3 linked regions of the Sus scrofa genome follow. The protein of the gene in region 2 interacts with the protein of the main gene of each other region in a pairwise test. Links are inferred from orthologs where the notes say so. Each region holds a gene or a part of one and is shown on either strand. Other genes may lie near its edges. The genes, in order: EIF4A3, PDCD4 and EIF4A2.

What was found.
Region 1: the proteins of PDCD4 (region 2) and EIF4A3 interact in binary tests that used the Homo sapiens proteins (3 or more experiments, as listed by UniProt). The two-hybrid records come from large-scale screens. The link is inferred for Sus scrofa from reciprocal best matches to the Homo sapiens genes PDCD4 and EIF4A3.
Region 3: the proteins of PDCD4 (region 2) and EIF4A2 interact in binary tests that used the Homo sapiens proteins (3 or more experiments, as listed by UniProt). The two-hybrid records come from large-scale screens. The link is inferred for Sus scrofa from reciprocal best matches to the Homo sapiens genes PDCD4 and EIF4A2.

What each region holds. Positions count from the first base shown.
Region 1 is NC_010454.4:2,284,214-2,288,520, forward strand, and holds the start of EIF4A3 (eukaryotic initiation factor 4A-III), read left to right. Parts: upstream 1-1,465; 5' UTR 1,466-1,481; coding exon 1,482-1,650; intron 1,651-4,089; coding exon 4,090-4,162; intron 4,163-4,307. UniProt on the Homo sapiens protein: ATP-dependent RNA helicase. Involved in pre-mRNA splicing as component of the spliceosome. Core component of the splicing-dependent multiprotein exon junction complex (EJC) deposited at splice junctions on mRNAs.
Region 2 is NC_010456.5:121,316,797-121,320,339, forward strand, and holds part of PDCD4 (programmed cell death protein 4), read left to right. Parts: coding exon 1-94; intron 95-1,853; coding exon 1,854-1,948; intron 1,949-3,503; coding exon 3,504-3,543. UniProt on the Homo sapiens protein: Inhibits translation initiation and cap-dependent translation. May excert its function by hindering the interaction between EIF4A1 and EIF4G. Inhibits the helicase activity of EIF4A. Modulates the activation of JUN kinase.
Region 3 is NC_010455.5:124,581,645-124,585,867, reverse strand, and holds the start of EIF4A2 (eukaryotic initiation factor 4A-II), read right to left. Parts: upstream 2,807-4,223; 5' UTR 2,772-2,806; coding exon 2,743-2,771; intron 1,916-2,742; coding exon 1,870-1,915; intron 1,784-1,869; coding exon 1,651-1,783; intron 1,374-1,650; coding exon 1,234-1,373; intron 483-1,233; coding exon 314-482; intron 194-313; coding exon 84-193; intron 1-83. UniProt on the Homo sapiens protein: ATP-dependent RNA helicase which is a subunit of the eIF4F complex involved in cap recognition and is required for mRNA binding to ribosome.

The sequences.
Region 1 (4,307 bases), on a different chromosome or scaffold from region 2:
TTAAGGATCTGGTGTTGCTGTGAGCTGTGGTGTAGGTTGCAGAAGCTTGGATCCCAAATTGCTGTGGCTACTATAGGCAGGCAGCTGTAGTTCCGATTTGACCCCTAGCCTAGGAACTTCCATATGCTGCAGGTGTGGCCCTTTAAAGAAAAAAAAATTCAAGCTGCAGCTGTGACCAACTGTGGCAACCTGGGATACTTTAATCCACTGCACAGGCTGGGGACTGAACCCATGCCCTCCGCAGCAACTTACTCTGTGCCACAGCTGGAACTCTAAGGTTTGAGTAATACTGGCATTTTTTTTTTTCTTGCTTCTTAGGGTCACACATGCAGCATACGGAAAATCTCAGGCTAGAGGTCAAATTGGAGCTATAGCTGGCGGCCTACACCACAGCCACAGCTGTGCCAGCTCTGAGCCACATCTGCAACCTACACCACAGCTCACGGCAACGCCAGATCCTTAACTCACTGAGCAAGACCAGGGATCGAACCGTGTCCTCATGGATGCTAGTCAGGTTCTTAACCCACTGAGCCACAAGGGGAACTTCCCATACTAGCATCCTTATCAGGCACGTTTATCAGGTCAATTTTCTTGCAGAGTCTGGACATATTCTAAGGTCTGGGCCAGAGCTTCAGGAAAAGACCTCATTTACTTGTTTGCTGTCAACAAACTGCAAACCTCTGCACTCTTATGCCTGATTTTAATGGATAATATGATCACCCAGTTTTCACTGAATTAACCTTCACAACAGGAAAGCGTTTAAGCACTCCTGGAAAGAGGCTGTGAATTAAAGATATGCCCAGGATGGGAGCCAAGCAAACAATGAGAAAGGACGGAGCTGGCACTTGGGCAAGTACAAGTTTCACAAAGTTATCGCTGTTCTCACACAACACAGATGAACGTCCGTCAAGTGATGAAATCGGTTCAGAGGCCAGTTTTGCGGTACTTGATTTTAGAGGCACTTGAAGTTTTAGAGAAGCATGGCCCACGGGGCCATGTTTACACGGGATAATGAGCGCAGGCAGGGACCAGCACCCGGGTGCCTCCTCCCGGCAGGGGCGCCCTGGCGCACGCCGCAGCTCGTCTGCAGGAGTTCCAGTTCTACCCTGCCGCGCTGAGGAACCGGTAATGCGGCCAGGTAACCGGTAACCCTCCGCGCAACAGCCCAGCCCAGAGCCCAAGCCGAGGGACCCGGGCGAACCCCGGCGCCTACCTTACGCGGGTGCGGGGAGGGGCGGGGTGTGGCCAGGGGCGGGGCCCGCGGATCCCGCGGAACCCCTCCCCCTCGAGAGCTGCGGCACCGCCCCTTTCCCCTTTCACGTGACCAGGAGCTCCCCGCCCCTTCCGAGCGCGGCTCCGACGCACGCTCCTACGCAGGCACGCGCGCGCGATGCCGTCAGTTCCTGGCGGCGGCGACGGCGCGGCGCTCTACTTCCGCTTCCCGGTGCGGCGCGCAGTCGGTTCTCAGCCCGCTCGGCATCATGGCGGCCACGGCCACGATGGCGACCTCAGGCTCGGCGCGGAAGCGGCTGCTGAAAGAGGAAGACATGACCAAAGTGGAATTCGAGACCAGCGAGGAGGTGGACGTGACTCCCACGTTCGACACTATGGGCCTGCGGGAGGACCTGCTGCGCGGCATCTATGCCTACGGTCGGTGGGCGCGGGGCGCGGGCTGCGAGCGCCCGCCGGAGAGCATGGGCCCGGCCGAGGGCTGGGTCCCGAGACTGGGAGTGTGGCGGTCCTGAAGGTCGGGGATCCGGGTTGGGGCCGAGCCCGGGGTGGGTCACGGGTGACCCCTTCCCTCACCACGCGTATCCACCCCCATCTGTGCCGGCGGGTTCGGGTGTTGTCCTCCCGGCAGCGCGCCCTGCTGGGACCCAAGAGGGCTGCAGGGTCCTTTGGGCACTTGGGAGTCATTCATTCAGCGGATAACTGTCTTGTATCGGCCAGGTGCGCGGCTCTAGGTACTCGGGGCTTAGTAGGGAACCAGACAGGTTCGTGCCCTTAGTTAAGTTAGCTTAAGCCTTAGTTTAAGTTACATTTGGGAGGAGGACTGTATAATCGATGGTAATGGCTACGGAGAAAATTAAGCGGGATAATTGGTTCAAGCTGCGCGGAGGAGAGAGTTAAACTAGTAGAGCAAATAGGCAAGGTGGCTGCCAGTAGGGCCTGGCATTTGAACTGAGACTCAGCTAAGGAGCCCGTTATGAGAAGGTTATGTTAGAATTGGGCAGAGGGGGCAGCTGGTGCCAGGTCCTGCAGCCCGGAGCCGGGGACATTCCAGGAACAGAATCTCCTGTCCTCCCTGTGGGGAGGGAGGAGGGGGCCACATCTTGAAGAGTGAAGTCTGGGGTGATAAAGAGAGTGCATTTTATTTCTGAGTGCAGTGGGGGAGGCCATTGGAGGGTCTCATGCAAGGAAGCGACAGGACCATATTTAGTTAGAAGTGAATTGGGGTGTCTGATGTGGGTGGAGGTGAGGCGGGAGAGCAAGCAGGGAGATGCTAGGAGGCTTTTTGTTCCAGTCCGGGGGAGAGATGATGGTTTTCTGGTGGAGATGGATGTAAGCAGCAGAGGAAAATCCTAGGTGTGTGGCTGATGGGACCGGTGATGCTGCCCTCTGCTCAGGCAGGGAGTAATGGTGGGAGCACTTCTTGAATGAGGGGAGCTTGAGGGACCTGTGAGCCATCAGTTGTCCTAGCTGGGAGCCTCGGAAGAGGCGGGGTTGGGGCTACTCTCCGGAATGAGCAGCATCCGTGCTTAATGCCTGGGACTGGGGCATCTTTTTTATCCAGCAGTCCTTGAGTCAGGACAGTTTAGTGCAGAGAAGGTGCTGAGGGAACGGGAGGTGAACTATAGCAACTAAGCCTTGTAGTGAGGCTCACAGCCCACCTGCCTCTTGGGATCTAGGGCCTCCCTTCCCTGAAACACCTGCTGCGTCATCATGAGGGGTTTAAATCACATTAGATTGGCTTTTGTGTTAAGTGGGAAGTTTACTACATTTTAAAAGACTATGAGAATTATTTCATGTCCATTATTTGTACATGAAGTTTTGTTTACTCAGACAGTAGAGGGGTTGCAGTTCACGCAGCCGCATCCAGGGCAGGAGGGCATCCAGGGCGGGAGGCGTAGGTGACATTCGTTTTTAGATGATGTCACCTACCCAAAGACTTACTGCTGATAGGGAGTAGTGACTGACTGTGATGGGTTATTTAATTTAACAAGTGATGCCAAAACACCCCCAACAATGCAGGTTATTGTAATGAAGTCAAACAATGCAGTAGTAATGGAAGTAAGATGTGAGCTTCCCTCCCCCTGTTCTCCAGCAGTAACCACCTGTTAACTTTTTTTTTTTTTAAACCTAACTAGGGTCTCTGTTTGCAACAATGTTCCTCAGAGATTTTGTCTGTATAAATAAGATCATATGTTACTATAAAGAAAATCCACTGGAGTTCCCTTGCTCAGTGGTTAACAAACTCGACTAGTATCCATGAAATTGTGGGTTCAGTCCCTGGCCTGGCTCAGTGGATTAAGGATCCGGCGTTTCGGGAGCTGTGGTGGAGGTTGCAGACGTGGCTCAGATCCCAAGTTGCTGTGGCTGTGGCTCAGGCCAGCAGCCACAGCTCCCGTTCGACCCTTAGCCTGGGAACCTCCATATGCTGCAGGTGTGGCCCTAAAAAAAAAAATCCACAAAAGTCCACAAATCCTGCTTTGTTCAACAGCTGTTTTTTGAGAGCTCAGTATGTTGGACATTGCATCAGGAGGGTTTTTTTTTTTTTTAAAAAACATACCATCCTTGGAGTTCCTTCTGTGGTGCAACGGGATCAGTGGCATATCTGCAGCACCAGGATGTAGGTTCAGTCCCTGCCTGGCACAGTGGGTGAAAGTAACTGGTGTTGCCACAGCGGTGGTGTAGGTCACAGCTGTGGCTCAGATTTGATCACATACCCACGAACTCCATATGCCGAGGGGCAGCCGAAAGAGAAAGGAAGAAAGAGAGCCCATCCTTGCCCTCGAGGAGCCCCAGCGTCTGGTTGTAAGCATGCTGTCCTAGCGGTTAGAACTAATTGTTTTCTGCTCTAATTTACAGGTTTTGAAAAGCCTTCGGCAATCCAGCAGCGAGCTATTAAGCAGATCATCAAGGGGAGAGATGTCATTGCACAGTGAGTCTGCGGGAGCCGGGCCCGGGCCGGGCTGCTCAGCACAGCAGCGCCTTTGCGCTTCTCCTTCCGTCGCCGTGACCAGCCCTGGCCTTGCATTCAGCCATAGGCACTTTTTATTTTTGTGTCCTCCACTCTGGAAAGCTCT
Region 2 (3,543 bases):
CTTAGAAGTGGAGTAACTGTACCAACCAGTCCAAAGGGAAGGTTGCTAGATAGACGATCCAGATCTGGGAAAGGAAGGGGACTACCAAAGAAAGGTTGGTATATACCAGTCCAAAGAAACAAATGGAAAAAATTTTGTCTGATTCTTGTACTGCAGTTTCCTCGTTCTAGGAATGAGAGAAGTTTAAACAATGATGTAAGGCTTTATAGTTTGTGTATGTTTTTATATGGTAATAATCTGAGGACCATCCCACTTTTTCGTTAAGTTGAGCCTTTTTTGTTGTTTGAGTAGACTTAGTTTTTTGGAGCAAAACTTTATCTCTTATTTCTGGCAAAATACACACCAGTGTTTTTCATGGTTAAGAATTGTGCATGTATTCTCTAATTCTGCTTTAAAGAAGTAGGGTCAGAAATTCATCATATCTATTATATGGTATAGTAAATCTAATTTGTTAAGAGTACATGGTAAATATAAGTTTGATTAGTAATATCTGAATCAGAATTTTAATAATTTTATAGATCTGATTCTGATTTTTCTTTAGCTCTGTTTATTTTGAGTACTGGAATGGAATGGTCTTGTTTCACTGGTGTGTTTCCAGTGTCTGGAGTAATGACTAGCAATGTAGGTACTTAAAATATTTATTGAATAAGGGGTTTGTCAGCATTTGTCTATAGTAGGATTTTGATGGTTTGGAAATTTCACCAGCTCCTAAATGGTGGGAATGTCAAATTATCGCCCTAAGTGTTTTGTGCTGTGTCAGAAATTGCTGTTGTTGAATGGCTCTGCAACCATTGGTTGGGCTCAAATGAAACCTATTTACCAGATTGTTCTTTTTGCTCTGGTGGCAATGATTATACTGTATGTGTAAAATAACCTCCAAAAAATTGGTGTACTGTAAAGTTCTTTTTTTTTTTTTTTATCTTTTCTAGGGCTGCACCTGTGGCATATGGAGGTTCCCAGGCTAGGGGCCTAATCGGAGCTGTAGCTGCAGGCCTACGCCAGAGCCACAGCAACGCTGGATCTGAGCCAAATCTGCAACCTACACCACAGCTCATAGCAACACTGGATCCTTAACTGAGGCCAGGGATTGAATCCGCAACCTCATGGCTCCTAGTTGGATTCGTTAACCACTGAGTCACGATGGGAACTCCATAAAGTTCTTTAACAATAATGTAATATATTGAGCCTTAAGAAAATATTTCAGGAAGTTTATTTAGTAAAGCAACTTTAGAAGTTGGAATTGCTAAACTTTTGCTAGTCAGTTTATATATAGAAGTAGAAATAATGATGAATTCTGTTAATACTTAAATAGTAATTAGTTATTTTTAGGATATTGGTAGTTATAAAGTGTAATGTATCCTTTTACAGCTAAAGCATGTTTTACTGTCAAATGTCTGATGGTGGTCACCCTACTTCTTTGTTGAATAATTTCTCCCTTGTTGAGTTTTTTTGACACATCACACTGGATCAACATACTTTTTGTTTCCGAGAAATGTCAGATAAAATTTAGCTTAACTTAACCTGCCTTAAGATCCCTGATACAGCTATTTTTCTGATTTTTTTTTTTTGGTTTGTTATAACTTCTGTTTTAAAGCATCTGCCTTTTTATTTTTAACTTGGTATTTTGGAAACAGGTTATAAAATACATAGTATCTAATCATTAATGAAAAAGCAGTGATCTGAATAAAAAGAGGTGTAAAATATAACTTTAAACTAGCAAAAAAAGCATAGAAATAAAAATACATGTTTTTAGCTATTTTATTAATACCCAAATATCTAGAATTATTTAAGATTTCAATTAAAATTTATGAACTATAGACATTATGCTCTTTCCTTTCTCTAAACTTTTTCAGGTGGTGCTGGAGGCAAAGGTGTCTGGGGTACACCTGGACAGGTATATGATGTGGAGGAAGTGGATGTGAAAGATCCTAACTATGATGATGACCAGGTATAAGTCTTTTACTTTTTTTGATATCTAAAATGCTTATAAACTTTTTTGAAAATTTTTTTTGCTTATAAACTTTTTTGACCTCATGTTTATAGTATACTCATGTATTTGTCAAATCATGTATTCTATCTATATGCTATATCTGTCAAATCATATATTTATAATTTTATATATTATTATATATAATATATATGTAGTGTGAATGTGTATATGTGTACACATATTACACACATTAGTGTGTTTATCTACACTAATTCAGTACTTTCTGACTGTTAGGTTAATTTTGGATTGAGAAACTAAGTTAACTTTTAGCAGCGTAGTCATAATTTTCACTTGGTTTCTGAATTTAATAGTTGGATGTGGAAATATTTCTAACAGAACATGAAAACCAGTATATTTTAAAACCAGTAGATTCAAGTACTATAGAATCTTTGCTAAATATTCTAATTTTAATATAGTCTTGAAAGACTTGAAAGTATATGTCGTAGACTGAACCCAGTCACAAGTTGCATATAAGCATTTCAGGACTTTTTTTTACAGAGGAGAATGGGGATAGAAGATTATTGGACGTCTTATTCTTTTTGACATTTCAGTTAAATAGTACTTTTCCTTAGAGATTTTTGTCATCACTGCAAACATTGATTTTTGTAATAAGGGTTTTTATTATACTAATCATGAAGGCTTTGGTTCCTGTCTCCCCCCACCTTTTAAAGTGAAGTTTTTTTTTTTTTTTTTTTTTGTCTTTTGTTGTTGTTGTTGCTGTTGTTGCTATTTCTTGGGCCGCTCCCGCGGCATATGGAGGTTCCCAGGCTAGGGGTCTAATCGGAGCTGTAGCCACCGGCCTATGCCAGAGCCACAGCAACACGGGATCCGAGCCGCGTCTGCAACCTACACCACAGCTCACGGCAACGCCGGATCGTTAACCCACTGAGCAAGGGCAGGGACCGAACCTGCAACCTCATGGTTCCTAGTCAGATTCGTTAACCACTGCGCCATGATGGGAACTCCTAAAGTGAAGTTTTAATGAAAATAACAAATATGATAGGAAGCCATCTTTTTTTTTCTTTGCTTTTTTTGGAGCTTCATGTGCAGCATATGGAAGGTCCCAGGCCATGGGTAGTTCGGAGCTGCAGCTGCCAGCCTGTGCCACAACCACAGCAATACGGGGATTCTGAGCCTTATCTGCAATGTAAACCACAGCTCAGGGCAACTGGATCCTTAACCCACTGAGCGAGGCCAGGGATCCAACCTGTATTCTCATGGATAATAGTTGGGTTTCAGTTCCACAATGGGAACTCCGGTAGGAAGTCATCTTAAAACTTTTTTGGTCACTGCAGTATTTGTTTCTGTGGGAGAGATGAAAAATTAACAGAAGATATGGGGGATAAATGACATAGGTTCTGTTTTTTATGTAAGTAATCAAAGCATGTAGCATGTCTTCTTCTTGCCCTGAATGGGTGTTACTAACCAGTTGTAATGTAAAATTTAGAAACAATTTCATTTATCTGAATGTTTTACTCTTTAATTTATAAATTTCTTCCCCTTCTCCTTTCAGGAGAATTGTGTTTATGAAACTGTAGTTTTGCCTTTGGATG
Region 3 (4,223 bases), on a different chromosome or scaffold from region 2:
GAACACTTCAGTTGTATTGTAACAGTACCTGCATTAACCTAACCTCCAGCTATTACAGGAAAATGAGGGAAAATAAAGCTCACCTGAATACTTGTATTTAATTTTTGGAAAATCTCATAGATTTGATCCTTAAACCCTCGGCTCAGCATTTCATCTGCTTCATCCAAAACAAACATTTTGATCCATTTTGGAGCTGTTAAAAATAAAGTCGTACTATTATCTCTAGACTATCAGGCATGTTATTGATTCCTAAGAGTTAAAAAAAAAAAAATCTATACTCCAACAAACTATACTAATAGGGAGTAATACTTACAAAGATATCTTCTGTTTAACATATCAAACACTCTCCCTGGTGTACCAACAACAATATGTGGTGCTTCAGCCTGCAGTTTCTGCATTTCATTCCGAACATTTGTCCCACCAATGCAGGCATGACAAGTTGCTCCCATATAGTCTCCAAGTGCCAGAATTACCTTTTGGATCTGAAAGCCAAAAGCGTTAATTATCATCCAGCAGCATTACATGCTGTGACTAAACTTCCAAAGCATATTGACAAGTATGTGGTCTGCAAACAGCTTTAATGCATGCAGAGCACCTAACTACTTTCAAGCTGAAAAAAATGCAGACAGATATAACTGTCAGGATAAACTTCACTGAAATATCTTGTGCCTTGTCAAAACTTGGGATCCTATTGCCCAGATACCAACCAGGTTATTTAGAGTGAAAAACATTTCCTACATTAGTATTGTGCAGGAAGGAGTAAATAAGATTTATCATCATTAACAAACTTTTTCCCGCAAAGTACTGCAGCATATAATCTTGACCTTAATAACAACTACAAGTGTATTAGCAAGGTTTACTTCAAAGCCAATATAGTAGTGAGCTTTGAAAACGCAGCATGCAACAGATGTATCACATACTGAGACAGTCAAATGAATGAACATGTCACTGCAGCTTTCATGTTGCACAACTGGATTCAAACTTAAAATGAGAAAAGATCTAGTCCAGCCTGAACAGAAATCTTCAGTTTCTCAATCTGTTACACAACCTTGCAAACCATACCTGCACACCCAGTTCCTGTTTAACTTTCAACAATAACTCCCTGCATGCATGGACAGTTAAAAGGAGGGCTCTGTAGGACCAATTTATACTAGGCTTTTAAATTCTCCACAGTTGTGAAACCTGAAACCTATGCAACACGCAAGCAGTTTTTTTGAACTACACTATCAATACCTGTTGAGCCAGTTCTCTGGTGGGGGCCAATACTAGTGCTTGGGTCTCCTTGAACTCAATCTCCAACTGTTGCAGGATGGAAATAGCAAATGTGGCTGTCTTGCCAGTACCTGACTGAGCTTGAGCAATCACATCATACCCTAAAAAAAGTAGGATACATATTTACCGATCCCACAGCAAACCGTCACTTCTAGTCACACCATGTATTCCATTTGGAACATAATTATGCCCAAATAATCAAGTGATCAGCAATGAGTATTCTCTTCATTTCAGGTCAGTCCCGAAAGATGATTGCCATCATTTCACTTTTTGGAATACAAATAGGTGCTAGTCCCCCAGAAGGTATACGTTCCCTTTTACGGTCCAGGTCTATGCAGAAGAGTGAATTCATTTTTAAAAACAGCCGAATTCTTTTACCTTTAATACAAGGAATAATAGCTCTCTGCTGAATAGCTGATGGCTTCTCAAAACCGTAAGCATAGATGCCCCGAAGAAGAGACTCCTTTAAATTCATATCGTCAAAGTTATCAACAATCTCATTCCAGTTGCTCTGAAAGTTTGGGCAAAAAAAAAAGGAATAAATGGGACGAACACACTTACCTTCCCAGAGTTTCAAATTCCACACACGTTTCTTACCTCGATGACACCATCGGGGTCCATTCCCTCTGGGCCGCCATGTTCTCTGCCAACAAAAACACTGCAGTTAGAGAAAATCCCTTCCCCAAACCCACTTCAACTGCACATGGGCGAAAAAGCGCTTTCACAACCGGTCTCTTGAGGTCGCCCTCCCCTGCACGAGTCCACTTCCCAAAGCCGCAGAAGAAGCTGATGCCGCAGGGCACACAATGTCCCGCGCGCCCGCTCAAAGGTTAGGACCTGAGGACACCCGGAAAGGCCCCTCCGACGCCGGCCCTCCCCCTCCAAGCCCGAGCGCAGGCGCTCCCCTCGGCGGCGGACCGTCTCGCGAGAGCTCCACGCGCTGAGCTCCGCCCCTAACACTGCGCAAGCCGGGGTGATTGACGCGGGCCGAGGCCTGGAGAGGCGAGCCAACGGCTCATTGGGACCCCGTGGCCGGCGCGGCCCCATCCGGCCTCCAGCCGCGGGCAGTGGGCGCCGTCGCCGTCCTGCCCCCCACCCCACCACCGTCTAGCGCGCCCAAGCCGCGCCGCTGGCCGCGAATAAACCTCCGAGCCCCATTAGACTCTATCAACCGCGGGCTGCGCCATGGCTTTCACTAAACGCCGGGCTCCGCAGGGGCAGGGGGGCGGCTGCGATTCAAATGCGCCTTCGGGGAAAGACACGCTTTAACCACCCCGTTTTCCTACCCTCGTCTCGTCTCCCCACAACCCGGGCCCTACACTTCATGGAAGCTTCTCGAAGGACACAGGAGTACCGTGGCCCAAGGCAACGCCTATGAACCAGGGCTTCTCTTCCTGCTCACCGCCTACTACCATCTCCTCTGGCGCCTTAGGACCATACCATAGAAAACCACCGGAGAGAGCGCCATACCTGTTATAATCCGCGGAGCCACCAGACATGATCCAAAGAACCACTCAGCGCCCGACTGAAAAGACAGCCGGGCCGCACCACCCGTTTTTTATAGGCTCGCGGCCGGAACCCGTTTTCCGCGGAGGAATTTTACTGTCGCTCTTCGGCCAGTCACAAAATTGTGATCCTGGGATGCTTATCTCAGAAAATATTCGAAGCAAATCATTAAGAAAATTCAAATTTGATTATGTGTCGATATTCCAGGGTTGTTGAAAATCCCAGGACCCTGGGGGAAGGTTGGGACTCTTTGACCCGCGGCGGAAGAATATTGCAGCAAGCAGTAGCTAGGTTCGCGTTCCCTGCCCGCCCTGCTCCTACGGGGTTTCCGCGTCCCTCGAGCAGAGGCGGCCGGGGCGCCGGGCAGGACCGGGAGGCGGAAGCTCGGGGCCCCTTGGAAGCTGGGTGGCCCCGGTTTCTCCGCAGGCGAGCCAGGGAACCTCGCTGTGCTCGCCGTGCTCGGTGCGGAAGGTGTAGGCACGGCCATACTCCGCACTGGAGGGCAATCGGGCTATTCCGCCTGTTCGCGCCGCTACTTAACGCGAAGGTAAAGAGCCGCCTGGCCTTTGACACGAGCGTTTAACATCCATACAGACCTTGACAGTGTGAAACTCGCGCTGCGGAAAATGTCGGCCGCCCAGCGTGTCACAGGAGATCCGCTTTACCGTACATCGTGCAGGGCGAGAAGAAATGTGTAGGGTCCTCTGCAAATTGTCTCTGGAGTAGCCAACTCCTTTCTTATGTTGCCTCTTCTCTCACTGCCTTTTAAAAATAAAGGTTATAAATTTTAACAGGTGTGAGCAATGCCTGATAAAATCATTGTAAACTGGCAAATAGAAGGGTAATTTTTCCTGTAATTCAGGAATTTAAGTGGATGCTTCTGGCAAGTACAGCTCCGTGCCGCTTTGGGACTACATAAGTTTTGCTTCCGGTCATTTTTTTTTTTTCCAAAAGGCTTTTTGAATTTTAATTGCTTATATATAATGAATGTTGATTTATTGATATTGAGAGCATTGTAACCCTTAAAGCTCCAGAGGCTTTCAACTATAGCCCTAACCCATACTCATTAGTAAAAACAAAACAAAAATTAATATATATAGTCATTTAACTTTGAAATACAATCCTACCCATACTGCAAAATATCACAATTACTCAAGAAAACCTTTTACCATTAAATCAGACTGCCAACATAAAGTCTGATAACAGGAAAAATGACTTAATTTTCTATATTTGTGTACTATATTCAGTATGATGCTTGCTTCTAAATGCCACATTTTTTCCAAAAAAAAAAAAATCATTTGCTTGAAAATTGTTGTGCCAGAAACTGACAAGAACTAATACCCAGATGACAGTGTCTTCGCCTGCAGTCTAGTGATGCTGCTCCTTAACCATCCCTTTATAATGTTCAAGTCCAAATTTGTGATAATGCCATACATTGTCTGAGA